Schizosaccharomyces pombe: one gene and its partners. Changing the gene in region 2 together with the main gene of any one other region gives a genetic interaction. Each region holds a gene or a part of one and is shown on either strand. Other genes may lie near its edges.

Region 1 (6,968 bases), on a different chromosome or scaffold from region 2:
ACCATGAACTAAACGTAATAAACTTGTAAATTGCTTCAACACTCATTCGTTGACAAAAGTTCTAAATTCTCATGTCTGCCATTAGCGAATCATTTTAGCATCAAAAATTCAATTTATAGATTTTATGGTCAACGGTATCAAGGCGCTCACTTAACCAATTGTTATCATCTAGCAATGCAGCTTTGTCTCCCCCCACAGGTATTTGTTTAATAATTTTGTCGTAAGTAGCTTGCTTTTTACGGCAGTCCTTCAAGAGAAAATCATTCAACAAATCAATATATATCCTCGTCTCATTCAATCGAACATTTACCTTGTCTAAACGTACGACAAGGCGTGCTAACAATATTAAATGACCCTGAACAACTCGAGCTCTCACATCAAACATTGATTTTCCATTATCTGCTAACTCATCTTCGAAAAGAATTATCTCATTGAACCATAAATTTTGTCCTGCGTTAAGTATTTTTTGAACAGGTATTACCTGATCAATTTCAATGAATTTTGCATTTGGACGTTGTATAGTTCCCTGATAATCAGTATAATAAGTCCAATCAAATGGGTAAATCACAGGGTATTCTTCTCCGGGCTTAATTCTGGATTTGGCCCAGTCTTTTGCAAAAGAAACTTGCATTACATCTTCAGGTTTGGTACCAACCATTTTAAGAGCATCTTCAGTAAAAAATCCAACTACAGGCTGATTCTTGTATTCAATTGAGATGTAATTATTCCCAAAGGTCATCTCAGGAGGTGGAAAACCCAATGTACTTTGAAGGTTCTCCATCTCATGGCTTTTTAAAATTGACCCCCGTTGGACTTTGATAGTCCAATATTTAAATGAAAAATCATCTTGTTTTTGCATCTCCTTTAAATAATGTGATTTGAGTAGTTGCTTGACCCCTATATTATTGTAACAATTTAGAGTGCGTACGGCAAAATATAGGTAATGTAAATTTAGCCAACACAAAACACCTTTATATTACTTTACTCATTATAGAGTATATTCAAAAAACCAAAAGTTGATTAATTATTCAGATTAAAAATGAAAAATGATCTATAAGTATTAATTCAGTAGTTATATAATTTCAGTTCAACTCCCTCATTTAGTAAATCCGATAAGTAAAAATTATTCAAAAAATACATTAAGACGATTAGTATTCATAAATTCAGATATTAAGCCATAAAATTCACGTATTCTTGTAACCATAATTTCTCAGTACCCCTATCTAGAGCAAACGAGCGTGAATTCATCACCTGAAGCCATTTTTGGCAAACCTTTTTAGAGTCCGCAAACAACTGAACATGCCTTCTATCAACAGATGTAGCCAATATTCCAGCTACTAGACCGAGGTTTGAAACTGCCTCTGAAAAATTTACCATTGGGATTGAAACTACTGTCTTAGAAAGCTGAAAAGTATCCAAATATTGCCCACCTTTTTCAGCATAAAAATTCAGCTGCTTTGAGCGTAAAACGACAAAACGTCTTCGAATAGATGAATCTTCCAATCTATACAAGTATCCCTCATTATATAGATAGTTACTTCTAACGTGTCGCAAGTCCATCGTAGCTTGTTCTAAGGTAAATGGCAATTCCTGCTCTGGAACCGAAAGCTCAGGAATATACAAACAAGTCAAAGTTAGATTACCAAGTGTACGTTTCCCTATAGAGTTTATTTTTACAGGAATCGCTTCCAAGAAGCCTCTGGAAATGATGGGTATTTCTACGTTGAAAGCCTTTCCAAAACAACTGTCTTTGACATTACCCAAATTTAACGTAGCAGTACCCGAGACTTTCTTGATAACCACTGACTTCTTAGCCTTTGAATTCTCAACTGCAGCAGCCTTGTTGAGTTTTCTCTTTTTGCGTCGGTTGAAAAGCTTGTCAAAAAATTTCCTAGCTTTGGATTTCGTTTCAGCAGGCTTACCGTTTGAAACGTCTTTTGTAGCAGATACTCCTTTCGAACCGTTGGACTTGTCCTCAATAGGGATGTCAAGAAACATAAAACTCACTTTAAAGTTATCGTCAACATGAAAAGCAAAATCATGGTCCAACCTATTATTCCCATTAACAGCTTGCCAAGGAAGCTGCATATTTTGCGTAGGCGTATTAACTATTATCTTGATAGGTGAATGGACTTCACTTATCGAAATATTCAAAATGCTGTTCAAATGTATATAAAAGCGACCAAGTGGCAAGGGCGCCTTTGGTTTCTCTTCAAAAAATGTTTCATTCACAAATCCAAGAGAAGTAACAGGACGTGGTGATTGATTTTCAGTACCATTCGGGACTTCGTAAGACGTACTCTTATCCTGACTTGGAAGATCAAGGCGATTCAAATCAAAGGAATGTGCACGACTTAAAAGTTCGCTATCTCTGGCTACAGGCGTAGACTGCCTAAGTTCATCAATGCTGGCGGATATCTCGGCACTAGGGTCGTAAAAACCTACTGTACCAGTTTCCGAATAATTCCATCCTTCGACGTTATGGGACTCAGAACTGACTAAACTTTGGCTAGACTTGTTTGGCTCATTTTCACAATAATTACTATAAGTACGCTTCGTTCCTGGTACGGGTTGCATTGATGGGTGACGTAAATCTTCAGAGCTTAAAATAGCACTCAAATTGTCAATGGTAGAACTGCTTTTTATACGACCACGTTGACTAGATATACTATATCCCACGGAAGCAGAAGTTAGATTGTATCTGGGGACTTCATGATACGTTACAGATCCATGACCATAGGCGGCCTGAGATTTCGGAATTGAAGTGGCACTAATATCCTCATCCATATTTTCCTGTTGTAAAGAATCATTGATAATAGTAGAAATCTCAGGTTCTGAATTACGGGAAGATTGAAGGTATAACTCATCATAGTCTTTACCGTTGGTGGGAAGGGAAAGCTCAGAGAAATCATAAACTTTCCTAAGTGTACTAGCATAGGAAGATCCACTGGAAATCCGTTTTGCTTCCATCTTGGCCAAAACCTTTTTACGAAGACTTTCTGTAGAGATATCTGAGTCGTCTAAGGTGGCCTCTGGGACTGAAGAAAAAGGCTCTGAAGTATCTTCAACAGGGGCTTCCTGAATGGGAGCTAAAGGTTCTAAAGGTTTATAATCCATATCGAGAGACGCCGTCGTTTCGACCCTTTCCAACGCTGGATTGTCCTCTGTGGTATCTTTGGGAAGACTAGGAAGAATCCTTGGACCTACAGTAGAAGATGCAGATAGATGTGCTGGAGGTACGGGCTTGACATCAGATGGTATGCGAGCCAAGTTGGGAACGCTTCCAGCTCTTGCTCGGGCTGGGTTTGTAGACAGTTCATTATGGGATTGATATGGATGTTGAACAGTGTATTCCAACGGAGACATTGTCTTAGCTCGACTAAATTCTGCTACTTCTACCGCCCTCTTGCGAGACGATTTGGAGCGGTCAAAGGATAATTCAGCTAAATTTTGATCCGGATTAAATGTTTCATAATCTGCAACAATATCAGCACCTTTCAAAGACGCAGTAGAAGAACTTGTCGAGTTCATAGTTCCTGCCGAGTACGTCAAACTAGGAATGCGACCTTCTTCCTCGGAATTAATCCTCTTAAACACTGATGTACTACTCATTCTTTTACGATTATCAGGACTATGTTGAGAAGAAAAAGATGAATCGAGGTGCCCATAGCCATGCATATACATGCTTCTTAAATCAAGTGACTCTAAAAGATCTGTCGCAACGTTTAGTTCCGAAAGGTTTCCAAGGGACATATCGCCATCTCCATGTGTAAAGTTTTTTGTTTGATCATATCCCGAGGTTTCATTACTGTTACCCTCAAAAAAAAGGGGTGTTTTTTCTCGATTTGGAGAAGAAAGAAAACTGTTTTCTAAGCCTTTAGAGTCAAGAGACACATCTTTTGCTTCTCTATATGAGAACTCTTGCTCTTTCATCGTCAGGATAGCTTAATTAGACTTTACAGACTATAATACCTTATCGAGTGTTAAAATGTGGACACAGTATCATATAAGCACCCTGAAGTACAACAAAAGACGAGCCTTCTTCTTTATAGCAAATATTAATTCAAATTCTATTAAAATTGATGCTAAAAGCACGAAAACCTCTTATAATTTATTGAAATCCTTCTTCACCTCAGTCATGTGGAGTAGGCATAGGTCACACAAAATCGGTAGACGCTATGATAAGTGGTAGTCCCAGTGAGAACACTGATTATATGGTTAAACAATTCAAACTCTGGATATACCATAAATCGAAGATTAAAGCCAAGTTTCCTTTTTAAAATTAACAAAAAAAGGCTAGTTGCATTGCAAATATGAATTATAGCTGGGACATACTTGCAAAGATAATATTGTATTATCAGTATGCTTATGAATAGCGATGAATAAAGTCATTAGTATGTAAAATAAAATAAGTAAAATCATATTTTGTTGTCTGCTATTTTCGCAGAAACTAAAAAAAAATACATAAAATGAATCTGTTGATAAACAGCTTTTAATTTACAAATACACGAGCAGTTAAAACCTAAAACTAACTATCGGGGCGTAACATTTACTTAAAGCTAAAACCCATACTTTTGAGAAGATGCCTTTTTGTTTGATCGTTGCTGCTCAAAATAAGCTTCAAAGTTGTCTTTTTGACTGATAGCCATTTCAACAAGAGAAGACAGTTGATGACGACCAGGTGCAACACTTTTAATAGTAGGGGCGCTTGGCAATGCTTCTTGGGTCGGTTTTGGAAGTTTGTTGATATCAACGTCTATAATTCGTCCCTTCTCTTTTCGGTGGCGTCCAATTTCAATGTAATCTTCATTGATAATGTTTATGTCCTCTGCATTTGAATGTACTGAGTGATTAGCAATAGAAATGAAATCGTTCTCGGGTTGATTCCTCAATTTCGGAGGATTTGCTCTAGCTTTAGGTTTTATCAAAATTGGTTGGTAAGGTTTCTGATCGGAATCTACTAAAGAGGCTTGCTTTGACTCTGATCCTACGATATTAAATAACGAAACGTTACCAGACTTTTCTGAATACGTTGATTTCTTGACAGTTTCGGAGGATCCAGTAGAGGTTAAATCGCTTACAGAGTTATTAGGTAATAAATAGTTTTCATTTAAATCAAGGTCCGATCTTTTAGATGACTTTGGAGCTAATTCAGCTTGATTTTTTGGGGCAGGCAAAAGTTCAAGTAAATCATTAGATTTAAATCGTTCATTAGAGATAACATCAGATTCATTAAAAGTTTTATCATTAAAAGAAGATTTCTGTAAATCAACTTGCCGTTTCAGGCGTTTAGGTGACTTTTTAGTGCTGTCAACCGACAATTTTCTGCGCGCATGCTGAAACAAAGTAGGATCGAAACTTTTAGAAGCTAATGGTGTTTCTTCTTCAATATCGCTTTCGGATTCTGATCGAGGATATGAAACCAGAGACATATTTTATTAACTTTTGATATTAAGTCGTTTAATAATTCTGAGCGAGCGATTTGTACTCGGTAACTATTCTCACTGCGAACAGAATTATTTATGGCAATTAATATACTCGCATCTGCAAGATGATTTACATATTTATTCAAACTTAAATTAATTCTTTAAGTAAGTCTTAAAAAGAAATAATATTTAATTGAATGCTACCGCCCAACGTTGCTAGCTAGCATATGTGGTATTTTATATATTAATCACCCAAAAAGATTCCAAATTACCATTAATTTAATTTACTTTTATAAGCTTCATAAATATGAGAGTTTAAAGCACTGCAATTTTCGTAAACTTAATTTTTAGGATAGGCCAAAACATGGCCAAATCTTGAAGACTGGAAAAAGTACCGACTCGAATACTTTTATCAATCAACTGTTAGTAGTCGTAACCATGGTATCATAAACCGAACATATCTCTTCAAATATATCAATTTATGACAAACCACAATACATATTTAAATAATCATTAACTTGTCCGTATCAACTTTTAAGCCTCATCAAACTGACGATTAGCAAGTTCAACTAAATGGTCCCAATTGACATGCAATGAGCACCAAGTTTCTACTCCAGCAATAATTAGAATTGCAGCTCCAATTCCAATCCATAAACCGTACAGCCCCCAATCTAGCTTGAAGCAAAGGATTATGGCAACAGGCAAACCCAATAAATAATATGCGATGAAATTTACTACCCCACCAATCCTTTGTCTTCCTTGTCCCCGAAGAAGGCCTCCAGCTACACATTGTGTATTATCGGCAATATTAATGAGTGCAACAAGGGGAATGATAGTTGCAACCAATGCGACGACATCTTTATCAGACGTAAAAATGTAAGTCCATGTGTTGCGAGTTAAAAAAAGGATTACAGCAATGATAACACCAATTGCAGCACCTAAATTGATAGAAACGTGCGTAGCTAGCTTAGCGAGTTTCGTATTTCCAGCACCAATTAAATTTCCTACTCTTGTGGCAGCTGCAGCAGCGACACCGAAAGCCAAATTATAAGAAAGGGTCGAGGTAGTAGACAAAACAGACATAGAGGCTAATTCAGTGGTACCCAACACGCCCGATGCGAAAGTAACGAGTTCAAAAGCCCAGTACTCACTGCAAATCATAATTACACCAGGAACAGCCAATCGACATAACGGGCCCCAATTTTTTAATGCTTCTCTACTAAAACCTCCCCATGCTTGTCGTCCGTTTACCTTCATAATATAGATAATTAGAACAGCACAAGCACTCCATAGCGTTAATGCTACAGCGACCGGTGCACCTAGAAAACCGAAACCAACCCAGGGACTCCACACAAAAAGGTAATTAAGAAAAATATTAATAGGTACAACAATTGCTAAAATGTATGTTACAGGATGAAATATACCTTGCACCTGAAGGAAACGTTTTAGTGCTTCAAATAATGCGTATGCCGGACTAGCCAACATCATTACTCGCATATACTTTGCCGCAAACATACAAGTAAGAGGATCCTGTCTAAGGAA
Region 2 (8,067 bases):
TATTCCGCTCGATCAGAGCAGATCAAAAGGTTGATTCTTCAGTGTCCCACATTATAAGGCTATTTCTCGCTTACCAAGGAACACATCAGACCTCCTGAACTTATCCTCCACCAACGTCCTCTTCATTTTAAAATTCATTTTATTGAAAAAAAATCATATTTCTAGCTATCTTGCACCTCTATTTGGCCTTTGCTTATCCCCGGATCCACGTTGGATATTTGCTCGCCTATCGAATAGTATATTAAAAAAAGTTCGCTTGAGAAAAAAATTATTTGTCAAAGTCGAAAGTGGAAAGACGTTTTTAAAAGAAGTATTTTGTGGCAAAGAAGTCAATATCTAAGAAGAAAAAAAGTTTCGGTTGATCTGTAACTAAAATCAGCGTCAAAATAGCATCACCAATACGTCCGAGTGAGAAGCATCAAGGTTCCTCAAAATCAAGAAAAACTTTACCAATATTACTTCTATTGTTTTATCTAGCATTAAAAATAATTTCATTTAAATACAATCCTAGAGCGGGATTGTTGAAAAGAAACCCAACCTAATCTTAGTTTATTTGAATTTGCTCAGCTAATTTTGAATGTGACTATATTGAACACTCAAATTGGCTAATTCTTCGTTTAACAAACATCGAAAACTATTTATTTCTTCCCATCTTTTTGTTTATTAAAAAAAAAAGAAAGGAGAACAATAACAGAATTCAATTCATAGTTGTCGGCGGATATTGTTTTTCTATCCTTTTCTAATCCTTTTGTGTGTACTATTTGTTTTATGTTATAATTTATTAAAAAATCAGAAAGTGTTTTCGATATGGAGTCTTGTACAAGGTCTTCACTACAGCAGCTTGTCGCAGCTGACTCAAAATCTTCTAACTTTTGTTTCCGGAATTTATCCCAATCATCGAATAATAATGTATCATATGCGTCTTCAAGCAATCGCAATTTTGTTCCCCAAAATGTTCTCAATAATGAGTACCAATCTTTCCAGCATTCTTCAACATCTCAACCTTCCGTACTTCGACAAGGAAAAAATGCTTTTTTAAAGCCAAGCCAACTGTCTTTCAATATGAATTCGTCCGAAATTTCTAATACGCATTGGGCACGCGATTTTAATATTCTAACTTCTAACTTTGCTTCGTCCTCCGTTACTTCTGCTCCTACTCAATCCTCACATATTTCAAACTTTACTAATTCTCAAAAATATTTTGCAAACGATCTTCCCAACTCTCTAACTGACCAACCCTTAGCTCAGCCATCGGCATCTCAACGTTCTACATGGCTACCTTGTTCTGCAGCCGTTAGCACTTCAAGTCCTTCATCTGATCCCTTCTTTGATTCTTATCTTGAACAAGCTTTCGAAAAGGCTGAACGACTTGCAAACGAACAACAAAAGATTTCCAAAGTTGAGAAAACCTTTGGCACTTTGGATTCCATAGGTACTGAACAGGATGATTGCTTTGATCCTGATTACAGCAATCTCCCCCTTTTTCCTCAGGAAAATGCATCTCCCCCTTTGTTTCGAAAAGCATCTTGCAACAGTGGTTTTACCACAAAATGTTGATTAGGAGTTTCACACTAGCTTACTAATTTCCCTCCTAAAGATTGCTTCAACTGAAGTGTAGCATTGCTTCAGTCGTATTTCAATATTTGATTTTTTTATGCCTTATTTTTTTGTTTTAAAATTCTTTTCGCTAAAATTTGCTTCGAGAATCTATCAATACAAGTTCTCTCTTGCCGCACTATAAATCTCAAATTTAGCTTTCAAAATCATCTATTTATTGCAGTGTATACATTCATAATACCCTCATACCTAGCAATTTCAAAAATCCGTAACTATAGCTTAGCGATGCAAAAGCACTTCCACACCTCTTTTTGTAAAGAATAAAATTAATTTGAATTTTTAACACTTAATTTAATAATAATAAAATGTTTTGTACAACTTGGATTGCTACATATGGGAAAATTCAATCGTCCCTTCTTTCCAGTAATCAACAACCACTTAATAACTGCCAACTCCTAAAGGTCGAGCGCTTGAGGTGTCTAAGAGGCAGAGCATGAGCAAATCTGCTTTCACAAGCAAAAGTCAGCTTAAAGGAATAGAGTATGTTTACAAACTTTACGTCTTTTGTCTAGTGTACTAACGGTAATTAATAGTGGAAGTTTTAATGACCCATTTCGGCAACCGTCTATGAATTTGCCTACTCCCCCTCATGATGATGGTCTTCCATCAATACCTAGGTCTACAGCCTTGCCTAATTTGTCTAACCGATTATCTCCATATTCGCATCGTAATTACCTACCAATTCCTGAAGCGGATTCTCGTAATTTAGAGGTGCTTAATTCAATTTCGCTCACAACAGGATCAGTCGTGAATCAAATAAATAAACTTTACCAGAGGAGTTGTGATAATGCTAATTACTTACAAGACTTACGCTCTTTAATACTTCAAACTCCCACGGCTGAAGCAAATGCCACCCAAGTTACCGAATCTCTAAACCAAATCCAAAAAATTTTACAAGAGGCTTCTTCTAAAGATAGAGAACAAATTGTTCAAGTTATTAAAGAACTCAATAAAGGTAACAGTTTGGAGGTTCGTAGAGAACTTGGAAATTGTTTGGCCCATCTTAAGAAAGGAACTTTAAATATAGACAACGCATTACAAGCCTCTCTACAAAAATACTGGAAAGAATTGCAGTACTTTAATGTGTCAAAGGATAAGTTGCTATCTTTAGAGGAAAGTATAAAATTGTTAAGTGCAAGATTAGAGGAAACTGATACACCCTCCTCCACTCATTGGATAGAGATAAATGCTGGATTTAAAGAAGTTGGTGACGAATTGAGCGAGAATTTTCAAAGAAAGCAAGAAATTTTGAGTGGATTACAAAATAATGTGATTCTTCGTACTAATAATAGGAAGCCTGTAGGCAGTGATGGCTCTAATTCTAATTTTAATGGTGGAGAAGAACAGATGGACTCCAAAGATCAAGAGGAAATACAAGATTATTTGAATTCTCTTTTGTCAGTTCATGAGAAAGATGGTGTACTTCTCCAGAAATTTCATAATTCTTATGTTCAATATCAGAAACTCGCTGTTGCATTGTCGAAATATGAGAATTTCGATGCTGATAAGCTGTTTCAACAGATGAATTTAGCCAAGCAAAGCAATGAGACTCTTTTACAAACTTTGACCGAACAAACCGATCAACTGCTTTCGTTCAAGGAAACCATGGACTCATTTAAATTTATTTTAGGTCCCTCTATGGAGAACCAGGCTTTACAGCAGGGAATTCTAGCAGAGCAGCAAGATTTGGTAGCCCAGTTACGCGATATTGTGCTTCGCTCAGAGACGCTAGCTGAAAATCCCTCTAATATGCCCGGTAGTTGCCTTCCTGGAGCCTCCTCAAATACTGCTGACGAGTTTACTGAACAGCTGAATCTACTTAAGAACGAAGTAGCACGCCTCTCTGCAATCTGTCCAAGCCCTAATTCTGGAATTAATGCTTCTGTGCTTACTAATGCTGACAATTTAGAGAAAGAGAACCTCCTGTTAGTGAACAACAATGCCTTCAAAGTAGATGATCGTTCAGTGTCATCAGTTGCATTAGACGATCATAATCGGCAGTTACAAATGAACGTAGAGGAGTTAGAAGGAAAGAAGGCGGATTTAACCAGCAAAATTAATCGATTGGATAAGGACTTTGTTAAGCTAAATACAACCTACTCGTTACTCACCGATCAAGTCAAAACTAAGCAATTGGCACTCCAAGAGATTGAAAGTCGAGTTATTCGTCTGGAAGAAAGACTAAATATGTTACAGAAGCTGTCCATGCAGCCAGCTATTTCTTCGAGCAGCGAATTTGTTCCCATTGAATCCCATCCCTCATCTTCAGCTGTTGTACCGATAGAAGAACCAAAAAATAGTATTATAGAAAAGAAGCGTGTTCCACATAACGCTGCAAGAAATTCTGTTAATTTGGAGGTCACTCTTCCTAATTCTAAAAAGAGGTTTTCTTCGTTTTCTGGATCTTCCAGTAAACTACCAGTCCGTCCATCAACTGCGTTAACAGACAAAAGGAAACCATCTTGGTCAAGAAGGCTAGCTGCTGCAATCGGGTTTTCTTCAGGATCTCCAGAAAAGAAGCATGTCATAACTTCATCGGACGCGGGACATCAGCGATCTAAATCAAGAAGCTTCAGTTCTAAAATGTAATTATACGCTCTTTTATAGGTCAATCGTTTTTGTAAGATTATACCAATGCTATTATTTAATCAATGACTTTCGTTTCTGTACTATACCTCTTTCATATGTATACTACGTTGAAATAAGCACTTAATGTAAACAACTATTGAAAGCAGCTCATCACATGAAGTCCAAAAATTACTACAACCCTTTATCCCTTTAAGAGCTTTACGATCGAAAATCCGATTTGCCAATGGAGATACAAATCAGCGTTCAAATATGAGAAAGTCTAACTATACAGATAAGCTTCAACAATCCTTGTAATACTAATGTTAAGATATCTTCAGAAAATTAACCGGTAGTTAACAAATAGATGCTATGTATATTGCATTCATTAGTAAGCTAGCGACCCCATTTGCTCAGAAGCCCTTTCTTTAGCTTCGCATAGACATATACCAACGGAACGAATGACACCTGGCAGTGAAAATTCCCTTTATACTTTGTGTAAGAATACTAAAGCTTGTTAATTTTTTTATTGATTTGCTAATTAGTAGACTCCTTGTCGAAATTTGGTTCGTTAACATCAGTTCAGCGCACTTTTCAAACGATGAAGTGTCAGGTTTTAAGCCTAAAATTTTCACCAAGTTTAATGGGAGTCCATTCAAAAGACGTGATATGGAATCCTTCGTGATGTTCTGATGGAAAGAGAGGTATCGCGAATTATCACTCGGATCCATAGATTTTAAAACTTCTGATGATTCAATGAAATGAACTCCAGGTTCTGCATACAATAGTGGCAAATATAGCTTACGAAAGAAAGCTATTTGCTTAGAAACAATATTTTCAACTTTTCGAGGATTTTCGGCGAAAAAGGACATTCGAATATCGCCAAGGTAGGATAAACTTACAATCGTTTTGTAAAGATCGAACTCTGTGAATCGGTCTGCTAACATTAACAGGCCAACGTGTAAGGCACTACTTAAATTATAAGAGTTTTCTTTGTAAAATTCATCTTCCCCTTTAAGTATGACAACCTATTTGTTCAAATTCGGTTAATATCCACAATTGTAGCAGAAGTCTGTTTATTTAACTTACGGGTTTTTGAAAGCGCCCCGCTAGATACATAGTATTCCAATTTTTAAGATCTTCATAAACATCTTTTTTGCTAGTAACACCATATTTGATTATATTTCCCTCTACTTCCACATGTGTATTGTAGTATACACCGGTGCCAAAAGATTCTTGAAGTGTTGACACGAAACCAGGTCCAAAATTTTTAACAAATGAATAATGAGAAGGGTTTTGCTGCAAATTTATTTTGTGCCACTTGACTGGGTCTTCTACCTGAAATATAAAATCAATCATGGGATTCTCCTAGCAGAGACATAAGTTAGAAGTTTTAGATTAAACGAGTATAACGATTAATAATTACTATTTACCTTTTGAGAATATCCAGCTTGCCTAAAGACCCCGCTGCCATAACCTACGGCGACATCAATGGGAGCTTGAAAGTAATTAACAACCTTTGTGAGATTTTCTTTCAATTCTTCTTCAGGTTGAATTCTTTGGTTTTCAAACGTAAGTAAATTTTGCTTCAATAATTGTGCCACTGTACATTTCGCATGATGACTATAACTATGACGGTTCATCCATCGTTTTGTTGAATATCGAAGGATATTATAAGAAAGAAAGTGGGTTTTACCAAAGATCATATATATGATAAAATACGAGTTAGCAATTGCTTTTTTAGTTGTGATACTATACAGTGTTTAATTATACTGAATTTTGGTCACGATGAGGTACTATATGACAGAAGACGAAAACGCCCAGTCTACTCACTCATTGGACTCTACACATTTCATCAATAATATTTAATTGAATTATTTATTTAGCTGTTTTTTTATACCATGATAAATTAATTATTCAAAATGTGAAATTAAAACCAGAGTATATAAACTTAGAACTGACTTACATATGTTCTTACTACTTCTAAAAGAAACGACATTAAAAGAATGAATCGAAACATAAAAATTTAGGTCAATGTTCCATCTTTTTTTTTTCGTAGTTTATATTAGAAGATTCAAAGATCCAAATCTGCGTACATTTTTACAGCAACCAGTTTCAATGTTCAAAAAAGAAATTGTAGATCATCAACTGATGCATATTTATTCAAAGAAACCGACTTGTTCTGCTTTTTCTTAGTAAAATTGGTTGCTTGTTATGTTGCATTGTATACTATACACGAGAATAAATTCCACCATAATCAAAAAATTGAACTGAGAAAAAAATTTGAAAACCCAAACCATAGAAACCTTTTATAACACCATTAAATAGAAACTTAGAATTATTTTTGAATACCAACAACATGCCTTTCACGTTCTTTTTCATAGGGCACGGCACCTTTTTTACTATGACGGCGAATGTTCTCTTCACGTCTCTTTAGAGAATTAATCTCTTCACGTTTTATTTCGGCAGCCTTTTTGACATTAGTTGGAAGATGACGATGACGGGCAATACGGCGAATTTCAGGAATATGCTTATAGCGCTCTCGCAATGAGTCAAGATATTTGAGGCGATTCTCCTCACGAGTAGAGCGAATTGACGCACGGGAAGAAGCACGAGCTCTCCAAAGACGAACATTACTATCATCGGAACCAGAGAATATGTATTGTGCATCCATTGAAAATTTAACTGCAGTAACTCGCTGCATACGTTTTGTATGATAAACATCACGACTATGACCCTCCCGAACATTGTAAATTCGAATCGTTTTGTCATAAGAACCACTAACAAACTCTTGACCTGTCGGTGAAAAATCTACTGACATAACGGCAGAAACGTGATCCTTATAAACGTGTAATGCCCGCTTTAAATTTCGCATATCGTACATATACAAATTGTGATCCTCACTGCCAGCTACAAAATTAAATGCCTCCATTGGATTCCAAGAAATTGAATTAGTTCTCAATTTGGTAATCAATTTGGTTAACGGTGATGATGTACGGAGATCGTAAATTACGATTGATCGATCCATACCAGCTGAAGCCAAAACCGATGTTTCCGTATAGTTAAATTTGACTACCGGTAATGTATCAGCTCCCCATTCAAACTTTGTTACTGGAGTATCACGAGAATAGTCCCAAATAGATACATTTTCACCGCTAGTTGCAAATAAATCACCTCCTTTGCTAGTGTCAATATCCAAAAGAGAAGAGTCTCCCAAATACGATCTTTTAACTTTGCCATCTTGTTTATTAAGCATGTAAACATAGCGATCAGAAGCGCAAGATAAAACGTCTCCTTGATTAGAGAATACTAATCCCCTAACAATGCCTTCATGTGCCTTTGAAGTCCAGCGCTCACAACGTTCACTAGCATCCCATAGTTTTACAGCTAGAAAATGTGTTAGTGACATCCAAACTTTTTATATCCACTTATTTATCACATACCACCATCACCACTTCCACTGGCACAATCTATCAAAGTTTTTGTATCACGAGCTAATGAATAAACACCATCTTGATGTCCTCTACCCAATTGACCAAGAAAAGGGGCTGCGAACATCCTGTCCATCTTTGTAGCATTCAATGCACGTGTATACTCACGCGCACGTTCAAAAGGATGGAGCGATGGATCTAAATTCCTTTTAACAGGATCTTGATCATTAAGACGTGTCAACGAAGTACCACGGGTGATTGTTTTGACCTTCATCCTTTTTGGTTCGTTGCAAGTTTCAATTTCTAGTAGTAAGCTCTACACCTTGCAAAAATATTGGATAATGAGGTGTAGCGTAAACCATCGTATTTGAATAAACAAAAGGGCAAATACTTCAGCAATCCCTAAGATTTAGCTTTTTAAAACTCATTTCAATTATTTAAAAATTCTACTAAA
Region 3 (9,251 bases), 370 kb from region 2:
ATGTAACAGACATTAAGTTTGTGTTTGCTCTAACCATCAATCGTTCTTCATTACTTATTTAGATAATATATTCTCAAGTACTAGATACTTAATCAACACTCAAGTCATTTTTTATTTAACAAAATGCAAATATAATAATTATTATTTACCCTAATTGAGAGCATTTCTAATGAGAAATAAGCATCCACATCACACAAATCCTTTAAAAAAAAATAAAATGCTTTAGACAGAAGAATTCTTTGTTGAAGAATAAACAATCTTTGTCGCTGGCTGAATCAGATTAAATTTATCCATTGAAGTTCCAGCAGCTGATTTACCAAACACAAAAGGCAAAATTAAAAGAACAAAAAAGGCAATAAACAATGAAAAGTACAAAGTGGCATAGCGAAGAACTATTTGACGACGAAGTTTGTTTTGTCTTATGGTATAAATTGGGGGTCGAATTTGTCTGCTGGGCACAAGCCAGAATAATATGATCGAGTGAAGTTTGTCGATATAAGGAATCAAAATAACAGGCGCTTGCAAAAACAACAAAAGATGACTTAAAAGGAAATCACCAGCAAACATATTCAACTCTGTAGTTTTACACACAAATTCTCTCCATGGTTGCGTTAAAACCATATATCCAAAACCTTGGCCATTCCAACGTCCAGACCACCAAGCTAAATTGGCACCATCATGACGAAATTCTCGAGACAGGAAACATATGATAAAAAATTTATGAGCAAACCTGTGAATTGAAATGATTGCTACAAATCCAAGTAAAGTTTTTGAAAATGACCAACCTTCCAAATAGCCCAATACTTCAAAGACAACAACATCAACACACACAAAAAGGAAATGGGCCACTCCAGCCAAATATACACCATACGTTTTAGATCTATCGCCGAGAATAGGACGTAACATGATTCCTAAACAGAAAAAGAAAAAAGCAATAATTGCACTTAAAACCAAAGGAGCAACTGACATAATAATCAAGCGAATAAAAGCATTAGTAGATTGGGTCTCATCATCGTTACCAGGTTGGGAATTGATAAAGAGAAATGGAATACACGTGAAAAATAGTGTTCCTAGAGGCCCTAATATTTCACCATAAAACATTGTAGTAATTCTCGCACGCGGGGAATCCATAGCAATTTTATCTGCCTTCTTACCATATATTTTACGTTTATACCCAGTTACTCTGGTACGGCAAAGTTGACAGTTGCCAATCCATGAATTTGCTTGATTGCGTGAATTTTCGCGGAATAGCCAGCGCATAAACTCACGATAATCAACAAAGAAATCGGTCCAGGCGAATTGATGGGGATTGTAAAGGAATGGACTAATGCAAAGAGCAGTCAGCGTAATCCAAAAGTAAATATAATGCGGCAACCAAGCAGTAATTGAACCAAACAATAACATGTACATAAGTCGTGACCCAAAATAAAGTGATGGTCCAGAGAATCGAGAATACAATAGTGAGAACGGCACACGAACAGTAGCAAAACCTCTGCTAGTACCAATATAGCGTGCACCACCAAACGTAAGATTTGCAATTAAACTCTGCGCATATATTTGGCATGTGAAAATTTCAAAAATAGGAGATAGAGAGAATATTTGTTTCGCTAAACGAATAACCATTCGGATGGCACCGCGTTCCCCTAATTCACAAACAGCAAGTGGAACAAAAGCAATACCAAAGACAATGAAAATAGACAAAATACAACGCTTCAACCACTCGAGAACTGGTTTTAATTGATAACAACCTTCAGGGTACAAAGAAGCTGTCAAGGAGTCAAATTGGCGGTATCTACAAACCGGAACAACAGTGTACATTGCTCCCAAATTAATAATAACAAGCATCAATAACTGTAAAGAAAACATGATGACCATGTTATTGACGTGAAATCCAGCGTGGGCATAGAAAAATGACAAAAACCTATCAAACGGTAATTGTGTGCCAAGGTTGAAATATTCTCTTGAAAGCATTTGTTCCGCCATACCCGTTCCAATTTTCGTAGTAAAGTTAAGAATTGAGCCAAAACCCAAGTCACGACCCTTACCACATTGATAGTAATCACAATGCTTAATACGTCCTCCACGTTGAAGAGCAATCATACCTGCATAAATATCTTCATTAACATGCAGACCTTTTTGTGCTTTTGAAACGCCGCCACGAGTAATCATAAACAAAACATTAATAAAATCAGGATGTCCGTAATGCAATTTTCCACCAATCAACGATAAAATACGAGCGAAAAGAGTACCAAATGTTTGTTCCTTTCCAGCAGCTACATCTCCAAGCATACCTGTATTTTCTGAAAAAATGTATTCTCTAGCACCGAGAATAGCTACGGGATGATTGTCAGCAGCTTTGGCATTTACCGAGTAAGGGCTATGTAAGGGAGGAGTAAGTTGCTCAAATTCAGCAAGAATGCTACGAATCTTTAGACATTCTTCCAAATAATTATCCTGGTTGGCATCGATCATTTGTACATATTCACCTCTAATGTAAGGAATAGACATATTTTGATTATCAGATTTACCGTCACCCAAAATTGGGTTACCAGATAGACGAATACGATATTTGGGTCGACGCTTTCCATTTTCCATAATGGGGCAATGACCGTCAATCAGTACAGAATAAAGATGGCGCTCGTCATTATGTCGAGATTGAGGATCTTCATCCATATATGCAATTTGCAAGTCTGGATACGCTCTTAATAAAAATTCTGCATTTTCGGCTTCTTCTTTGGTAAACTTAGCATACCGCTGCATGGAGACACAGAATCGGAACTTCCTGTTTGCCATTAAATCCAATTCTTCATCTAATCGCACAGGGTCACCATTTGTCCATTCGACCAATTCTGGTGTTTCCGTTCTGTATAACAGTTTGATGGCACGACTATAGTTACTGAAACCGTTGATAGTGCGATACAAAGTTTGAGTTCTCAGAGAGGCCCAAATTCTTGTTCTCAAAGTATACTCCGGAGTCGCAGATTTAAATCCAACACAATAGAAAGGAAGGTCATATGCTTTATTTACTCCATTTTTTTCATTGTCGATACTGCCAATAACAGAATCATTTTCATCAGCAAGTAATTTTGTATCATCAACAAAATTTCTCCACTCCACAGGATATAGCTGCTTCAAGTACTCTAATAGAGTTACGCGAGAAAGTTGATCTTCCTCGCGAATAATCTCTCTTAAAGATAACAAAATTTTCTCAGAATAGTGAGGAACCAAAACAGTGAAGGTAGGCATGGCATCAATGGAACTAGTCTTGGGTATTGATTCAGCCAAGGATTGTGCGAAAAAGGAGATTCTTCGAGCAGCTTCTGAATTAGCCGGAAACAAATCTTGCTTATAATGCTTAACCTGTTGGGAGTAGAAAAAGTTGGGAGCTCTAAGAGTATGATAGCCTGCCTTTTCAGAAGGTACTTGATGGTACAACAACTCCTGAATTTGGGTACGGGAAATCAAATGCTCCCTGTACATCGAGATAATAATGGCATTCCAAACTTGAGAAATAAGTACTTTTGGCTTGAAGACAATCTCCATGTCATCGGTATACAACAGTTTTGTATATATTCTTCTGGGAACGCGGTAAAACAATTCTCTCCAAGGAGTCCACACACTGATACCCAGGCAAAAAGCATAAGCCAAAGAATAGATAGTGCTGATAAGAATGTACCATAGATAAGTATCAAGGAAAAACAGAGAAAGATCAGTTAAATACAGTAAACTCAAGAGAATTTTAGGCTGAGCCTTGCATAGTCCAGCTCCTAAAATGTAATCACGGCAGTCATAAGGTCGCATAGCACCCAAAAATCTGATAGAATCTGCCAAATTCAAAGTTAAAAAGAAATAAGATTCCAAGAATTTGGCCACCAAAACTGTAATCCAAAGACACCAAGAAACGAAAGCACCTGTTTTTGAGGTCGGAGTGAAATTGGCGGTGAAAAATCTGTTAGCAAGGTTTTTTCCAGACCTTTTTGTGGTGAAACCAACCAAATTTCGTAACGGCGTAATCGAATAGTAAACTACACAGACCAACGAGAAAAAGAAATGCACAATTCCTACAACCAATCGAGAAGCATAATGCTGCTCTTTCGTAGACGAAGCAAATATGAAAACAACAGGTGCGATGTTTAGAAGTAGCGTACTTATCAATAACAGCATACTCGGCCACAACCTTCTGGCAGAATGATAACGACGAGGAACATGTATATATTCGAAAACCACAGCTGCCAAGGTGATAAAAGAAGCTATAGCACCAGCTAAACCACAAGCTGTCCAACGACAAGAAGCAGGAGGTTTATTATTCAAGCGGATGTGATAATTTTTGGTGTACAAATTTGGGGAATTATAAGCCGAATAATACCAGTAAGCAGATATATGCATTACCCAAATACGTGAGAAATTGGTAACGTTATGGAACCAAGAACGATACTCGTAATAGGACTTATAAAAACATGATTTCCATTCAACATCGGAAAGATGTCGATATCGCATAAACGGTGGTAAATCTAACAACGGAGTTTTATCAGCACACATGATTTCCTGAAGGCCCTTGTAGGACCAAAACAATTGATTAATATCATCATAGCCAATGATTTGAGAATGATCTCTTTCTCGTCTGACGTATTTGCCGTCCAAAATTTCAAACAGCTGTGCATGAATAAATCGATAAATAGGGGTGATAACCGAGTCTAAATAAAATTCCTTGGGCAAAGCAGCATCGACATCTTTAGCTTCCGAAGAGATATAATAATCATAAGCACATTCAAATATAAAACAAAGACACTCGGGAACAAAACGAACATTGTTAGCTTCACCCCAGCAAAGAAAATAAAGGCACACCTGCACCATCATGCGATGGGGTGAAAATGCTGCCATTTGATCTCTCCATGCCTGTTCAGCTTCTTTCAAAGTCATTGTTTCGACAATTGGGGAAGACATATCGTGAAATCCAATGGCATGACCGTCATTAAAATGAGAAGCAAAGTACCACTTTGAAAAATTTGCATGTTCACCACCAATGACATCGGCATGGATAGTAAGCAGTGCCGAGGAAGGAGACATACGAGATGCCCGAGAATCTAAAAGAACCATAACATAATCAAAAATGTTACGCATGTTATCTTTTTGAAAACCAAGTTTATTTGTAAGGTCCAACAAGATCTCTTGAACACCTTCCATAGTAACAGGAGCCTCTTCACCAGCTTGATTCCAAGCCGGATAAGCAACTGAACTGGAATCGACATTAAATGAAGAGCTATCATAATCAGAATGTAATGCATCACGAGAAGAGTTTTTATCGTAAATCATACGGGTCAGAGAGCTCATAGTATCATCGTCAGAGACATAACTATTGGCATCATCTTCAAAGAGTCCACGACCCTCTTGTTCACGCCAATACTGATCCATGATGAATAAATAGACTCAAAAGAAGGAGAGAGGACAAATTTTAATGCTTAAATTAAGAAGAATTGAAAGAAAGAAAAGTTGGAATTTGTGAGAAAGAATGCTAGCAAATGAGGAACGATGTTCAAAAGAAAGAAATAAATTTAAGAGACCTTGAAAAAAAGATTAAAAAGAAAGAAGTTAAGCCTTGGAAAATGGGGGCAAAAGAGTAGAAGAGAAAAAAATTTGTGCTGATTGAAATGAAAAAAGTAAAAGACTTTTTCAAATCCTAAAAAGAAGAAAAAAGGGTGATATATGTATGCCGGATGAGAGAAGACGGCGGAAAAAGCTCTAAAAGTAGGAAAAAGGGTGGGATCACGAAGTGAAAGAGTAGTTAAGATATCGGAGGTTCAAAAGGGAATGAACGGAACCTAAAAATACAGTATGCAAATTATAAAAAAAGAGGCGAAAAAAAAGAAGAAATAATTATAAAAACAACAATAATAATACCATAAAACAGCAAGCACCAAAAGAAGTACTTACAAATGCACACCTAGGAAACTGACCAAATTTTTAAAAAAGCGATTCAAGGAAGGACGTTTTTTTAAAAGAAAAGGAGAAAATATAAAATCGCTTTCCACATAAACTTTAGATTGAACAATTAAATTGTCGTATGCAGAAGCTTATTTACAATCTCTCAAAGCGAAAAAAAAGTAAATGGAGATGGGAAAATGGAAGGAAAAGAGAAGCGAAAGGGTAAGAGGAACCCGGGACAAACGCCAAACGTCCACACAAACACAATGCTACGACAAAAGGTGATCTTGCACACACCGAAAACTTAGCAGTGATGGAGCAACTAACGTAAAGATAATATCACACAAGAAAACTTGGCAAATGTTAAGATGGAGTCAACCTTTTTGTATGGAGGCTAATAGGAAAAAAGAGAGGAAAAAGAAAAGAAGGAACCAATGATAGATATATAAGAAGGAAGAAAAAATTAATTCCGTGCAACAGAATCAAAAATTTGACGTTAAAAAGGATAATTTACTCTAATTAATCAATATATTTTCAAAAATTTTAGAGTAATTCCACTAAGAGAACGGTGAAAATAGCCAAAACCCACCAGTTCCTAGTTTGTTGTCTGCAAGTTGTACTCATTCCGGTTCTTTCAAAACTAACAGCGAAATGGGGAAGGGTAGTGCACATTATTGAGGCCTATTTTAGTGTAAGCAATTTAGAGGCTGGCGTGGTAGGAGGCTCAGGTTACTCACCAACGAGGCACAAGGAGGCTTAAAAAACCATCCCCATACAAAGCAAAGCCATAGCCGGTCAAACAAAGAAAGAATTTATAAGCAGCTACTGTGTAGCATCTTATCAATCGTTATACCCAGCTACCGTTTTAGATGGATACTTTTAACCAAACTAAGGACGCTATATTTGAATTGGAAAAGAAGTAAACAAACTACAAAAAGTCAAGAAAGTGTAGCTGAAACCATAATTCAGTTACAGTGAACATAAGCGACGAGTGTTCTTTTTTTTTGGAATTGTTAAACTAATTTCTAATATGTGATTGTCTACATGGGTGGTAAACAATAGTAAAAATAATACAAAGCTAGAAGGTACCGAATCCCAATTAGCAAAGGTATGATTATTACAGTATAGAGCTTATGAAGAGAACTAGGCATTGGGCTTTTTTCGCAAATCCCGAAAATTGGGAAAATCATAGACGCACAATGTCTGGGTATTGAATGCGTGGGAAAAGTACGGATTTGAATGCTAACAAATCTGGTTAGGATCTAAAGAAGATGAAAAGACAACCGAGTACGAATTTAAAAGCAATTGGTTAATCCAAAGGAAGAAACAATGTGCCGGCATTGGAAAAGGTTTCCATTCCATATTCTGGTTAAGACTTGGATTGGGCAATTTCCCTTACGAATACCCCAAAAACAAACACATCCTGTAAATATTTTTATCTATCAATCGACTATTACAGCGATATTCTTTTAAATCTTTGATGACTATTTAGTTGTCACACTTAAACAACTTCTTACAATCATTTGACTACAACTATTTCTATTGTCGCACCTTCTGCTCTTTTCATTTTCTCCATTTCATTAATTCCTATATTTTCTACTTCTCTAGTTTGTTTTACTTCTTTACACTACCTTATTAGATAAATAATCTAGCACCCTAGCCTTTCTTATCATCTTAACCCCCTGTAGCGAGACTTTTTTCGTCCGGTACCTTACAGGGCTTGGGTGGGCTTTATAGAAAGGCTCAGTACATTTACCACGAGATTTTGAAAAGGATAAATCCAGCGTTTTTTCCTACAAACTATACGTTCCTGATACGCTGTATACGCTTCTTTTTCATCCAAATTTCACATTTTTTATATTTTGGTTCAAGTCTGGGGTTGATTTAAGAAAAATTTTTTTCCGTACTGCCTATTCAGTGTTTCTATTTATATTCAAAGGTGAAATTTTTTGTCTCCGCAAACTTTACATTGCCGTTATTGTCGCTTTGTTTACATTTTGAAAGTCTCAAATTGAATATTTTGAATTTCATCCTTGGCTTTTTTTTATTTGGTTTCCATTTATTTTGGTGATCGGCTTCCTTATTTTTTTTTGCACATTTAGTATTGGGTTAGACTTCAAGTCATAGGAGCCGATTGAATGATATCCTAATATTTGCCTGCTTTTTTAAAATTCTTCCAAAGTTATCTCTTTTTTCTACATTAAAAGGTTTTTTCATTCGTCTACCCAAAACGTTAACGACATTTTCCTTGTATTCTTATCCCTTTAGATTATATCCCATTTTGGTACCCATTACTGTTTTGCTGCATTTCAAGTCAAGCTGATACATTCAAGTGAATCTAGCGGATAATCATATTTTGTATTTCAACCTTTAAGTTTTGCACTTCCTTGCATGCGTCTTTGCCTTCCCTTAATTTTGATTTTTATTACACTGTCAATAATCACGAAACAAGAATATAAGAATAGTCGAAACTCTCACTTTCTTTGCGCCCTTTTTTCCTTCTCCCTTTTCTCCTAATTTTTATTTCTAGACTTCACTGAATTTCCTCGGTTGATTTAGTCAATTGGTTTAATTTTTAATCCTTTTTTTGTTGTTTTTTTACTATTTTGGTTCTTAATTGTCGCTCTTTTTCTACTTCTTATTTATATTATTACCTAAATATTTGGACTCTAACTATGGATATTAATCCTCCTCCTAGTACTGCTCCTTCATCTCCTCGCCGTTCTGTATGTGCTACATAGTGGTTTGGTTCCATTCATACACCCCTTTTCTCCTCGCTAACGTACCATTTAGATACAGCGTATTTCCGATGCAAAAAATAAGGCTCTTACTTTTAATCGTCGACGACTTGGCTTGATAAAAAAAGCACATGAACTCTCCGTTTTGTGTGATGCTAAAGTGGTGGTCATGATTTTTGATTCTAAAAATGCTTGTCACGTTGTATGTTTCATATTTCCCGTTTTTCTGATCCTTTTCTGTCATATCCTTTCAATGTAAAGTGAATACATTATAGGGAAGGTGATGAAGGTCAACAACCAGAAAACGTGGCAATGTTTTTACAAGTTTTTAATATTAACATACACCTCTTTAGTATTCTTCTGAGGAACCGGAAGAGCAAAGAGATGCCTTGCTGCAAAAATTCCTGAACAAGGACTTTGTCACGGTTGACCCTCTGGTAAGTCACTTATCAGCAATCATTATGCTTGTCCTGTATTCTGTTTACTAACATAATCCCTTGGGGAGAAAGAGAAACATAAATCCTAATATACCATCTGATGAATCCCTTCATAATTGGAGACCTAAAGATAAGCGGATTGCTTCTGTTACCA

The links. Genes that interact genetically often act in the same process or in processes that back each other up.
Region 1: mutations in blt1 (region 2) and mid1 impair growth when combined (synthetic growth defect), as found in Schizosaccharomyces pombe (2 studies listed by BioGRID, with this or other methods).
Region 3: mutations in blt1 (region 2) and bgs1 impair growth when combined (synthetic growth defect), as found in Schizosaccharomyces pombe (one study listed by BioGRID).

The regions. Positions count from the first base shown.
Region 1 is NC_003421.2:1,146,283-1,153,250, forward strand, and holds mid1 (anillin-related medial ring protein Mid1), read right to left. Parts: upstream 4,154-6,968; 5' UTR 3,934-4,153; coding exon 1,171-3,933; 3' UTR 1,034-1,170; downstream 1-1,033. Other genes in the region: TIP41 type 2a phosphatase regulator Tip41, read right to left, coding at 101-859; protein Cwf20, read right to left, coding at 4,560-5,432; SPOM_SPCC4B3.13 (MatE family transporter), read right to left, coding at 5,961-6,968. UniProt on the Schizosaccharomyces pombe protein: Scaffold protein that anchors the contractile ring (CR) at the cell equator during cytokinesis.
Region 2 is NC_003423.3:1,982,466-1,990,532, forward strand, and holds blt1 (ubiquitin domain-like protein Blt1), read left to right. Parts: upstream 1-2,000; 5' UTR 2,001-2,050; coding exon 2,051-2,097; exon of another isoform or gene 2,098-2,150; coding exon 2,151-4,206; 3' UTR 4,207-4,578; coding exon of another isoform or gene 4,579-4,635; 3' UTR 4,636-4,636; coding exon of another isoform or gene 4,637-4,652; 3' UTR 4,653-4,653; coding exon of another isoform or gene 4,654-5,210; 3' UTR 5,211-5,271; coding exon of another isoform or gene 5,272-5,550; 3' UTR 5,551-5,615; coding exon of another isoform or gene 5,616-5,888; 3' UTR 5,889-6,087; downstream 6,088-8,067. Other genes in the region: SPOM_SPBC1A4.04 (uncharacterized protein), read left to right, coding at 808-1,557; U3 snoRNP-associated protein Sof1, read right to left, coding at 6,521-7,569, 7,626-7,887.
Region 3 is NC_003423.3:2,350,832-2,360,082, forward strand, and holds bgs1 (primary septum and spore wall linear 1,3-beta-glucan synthase catalytic subunit Bgs1), read right to left. Parts: upstream 6,534-9,251; 5' UTR 5,413-6,533; coding exon 223-5,412; 3' UTR 91-222; downstream 1-90. Other genes in the region: DNA-binding transcription factor, MADS-box Mbx1, read left to right, coding at 8,598-8,648, 8,716-8,862, 9,014-9,097, 9,170-9,251. UniProt on the Schizosaccharomyces pombe protein: Alternate catalytic subunit of the 1,3-beta-glucan synthase (GS) complex. Synthesizes 1,3-beta-glucan, a major structural component of the fungal cell wall. Required for the assembly of the division septum and maintenance of cell polarity.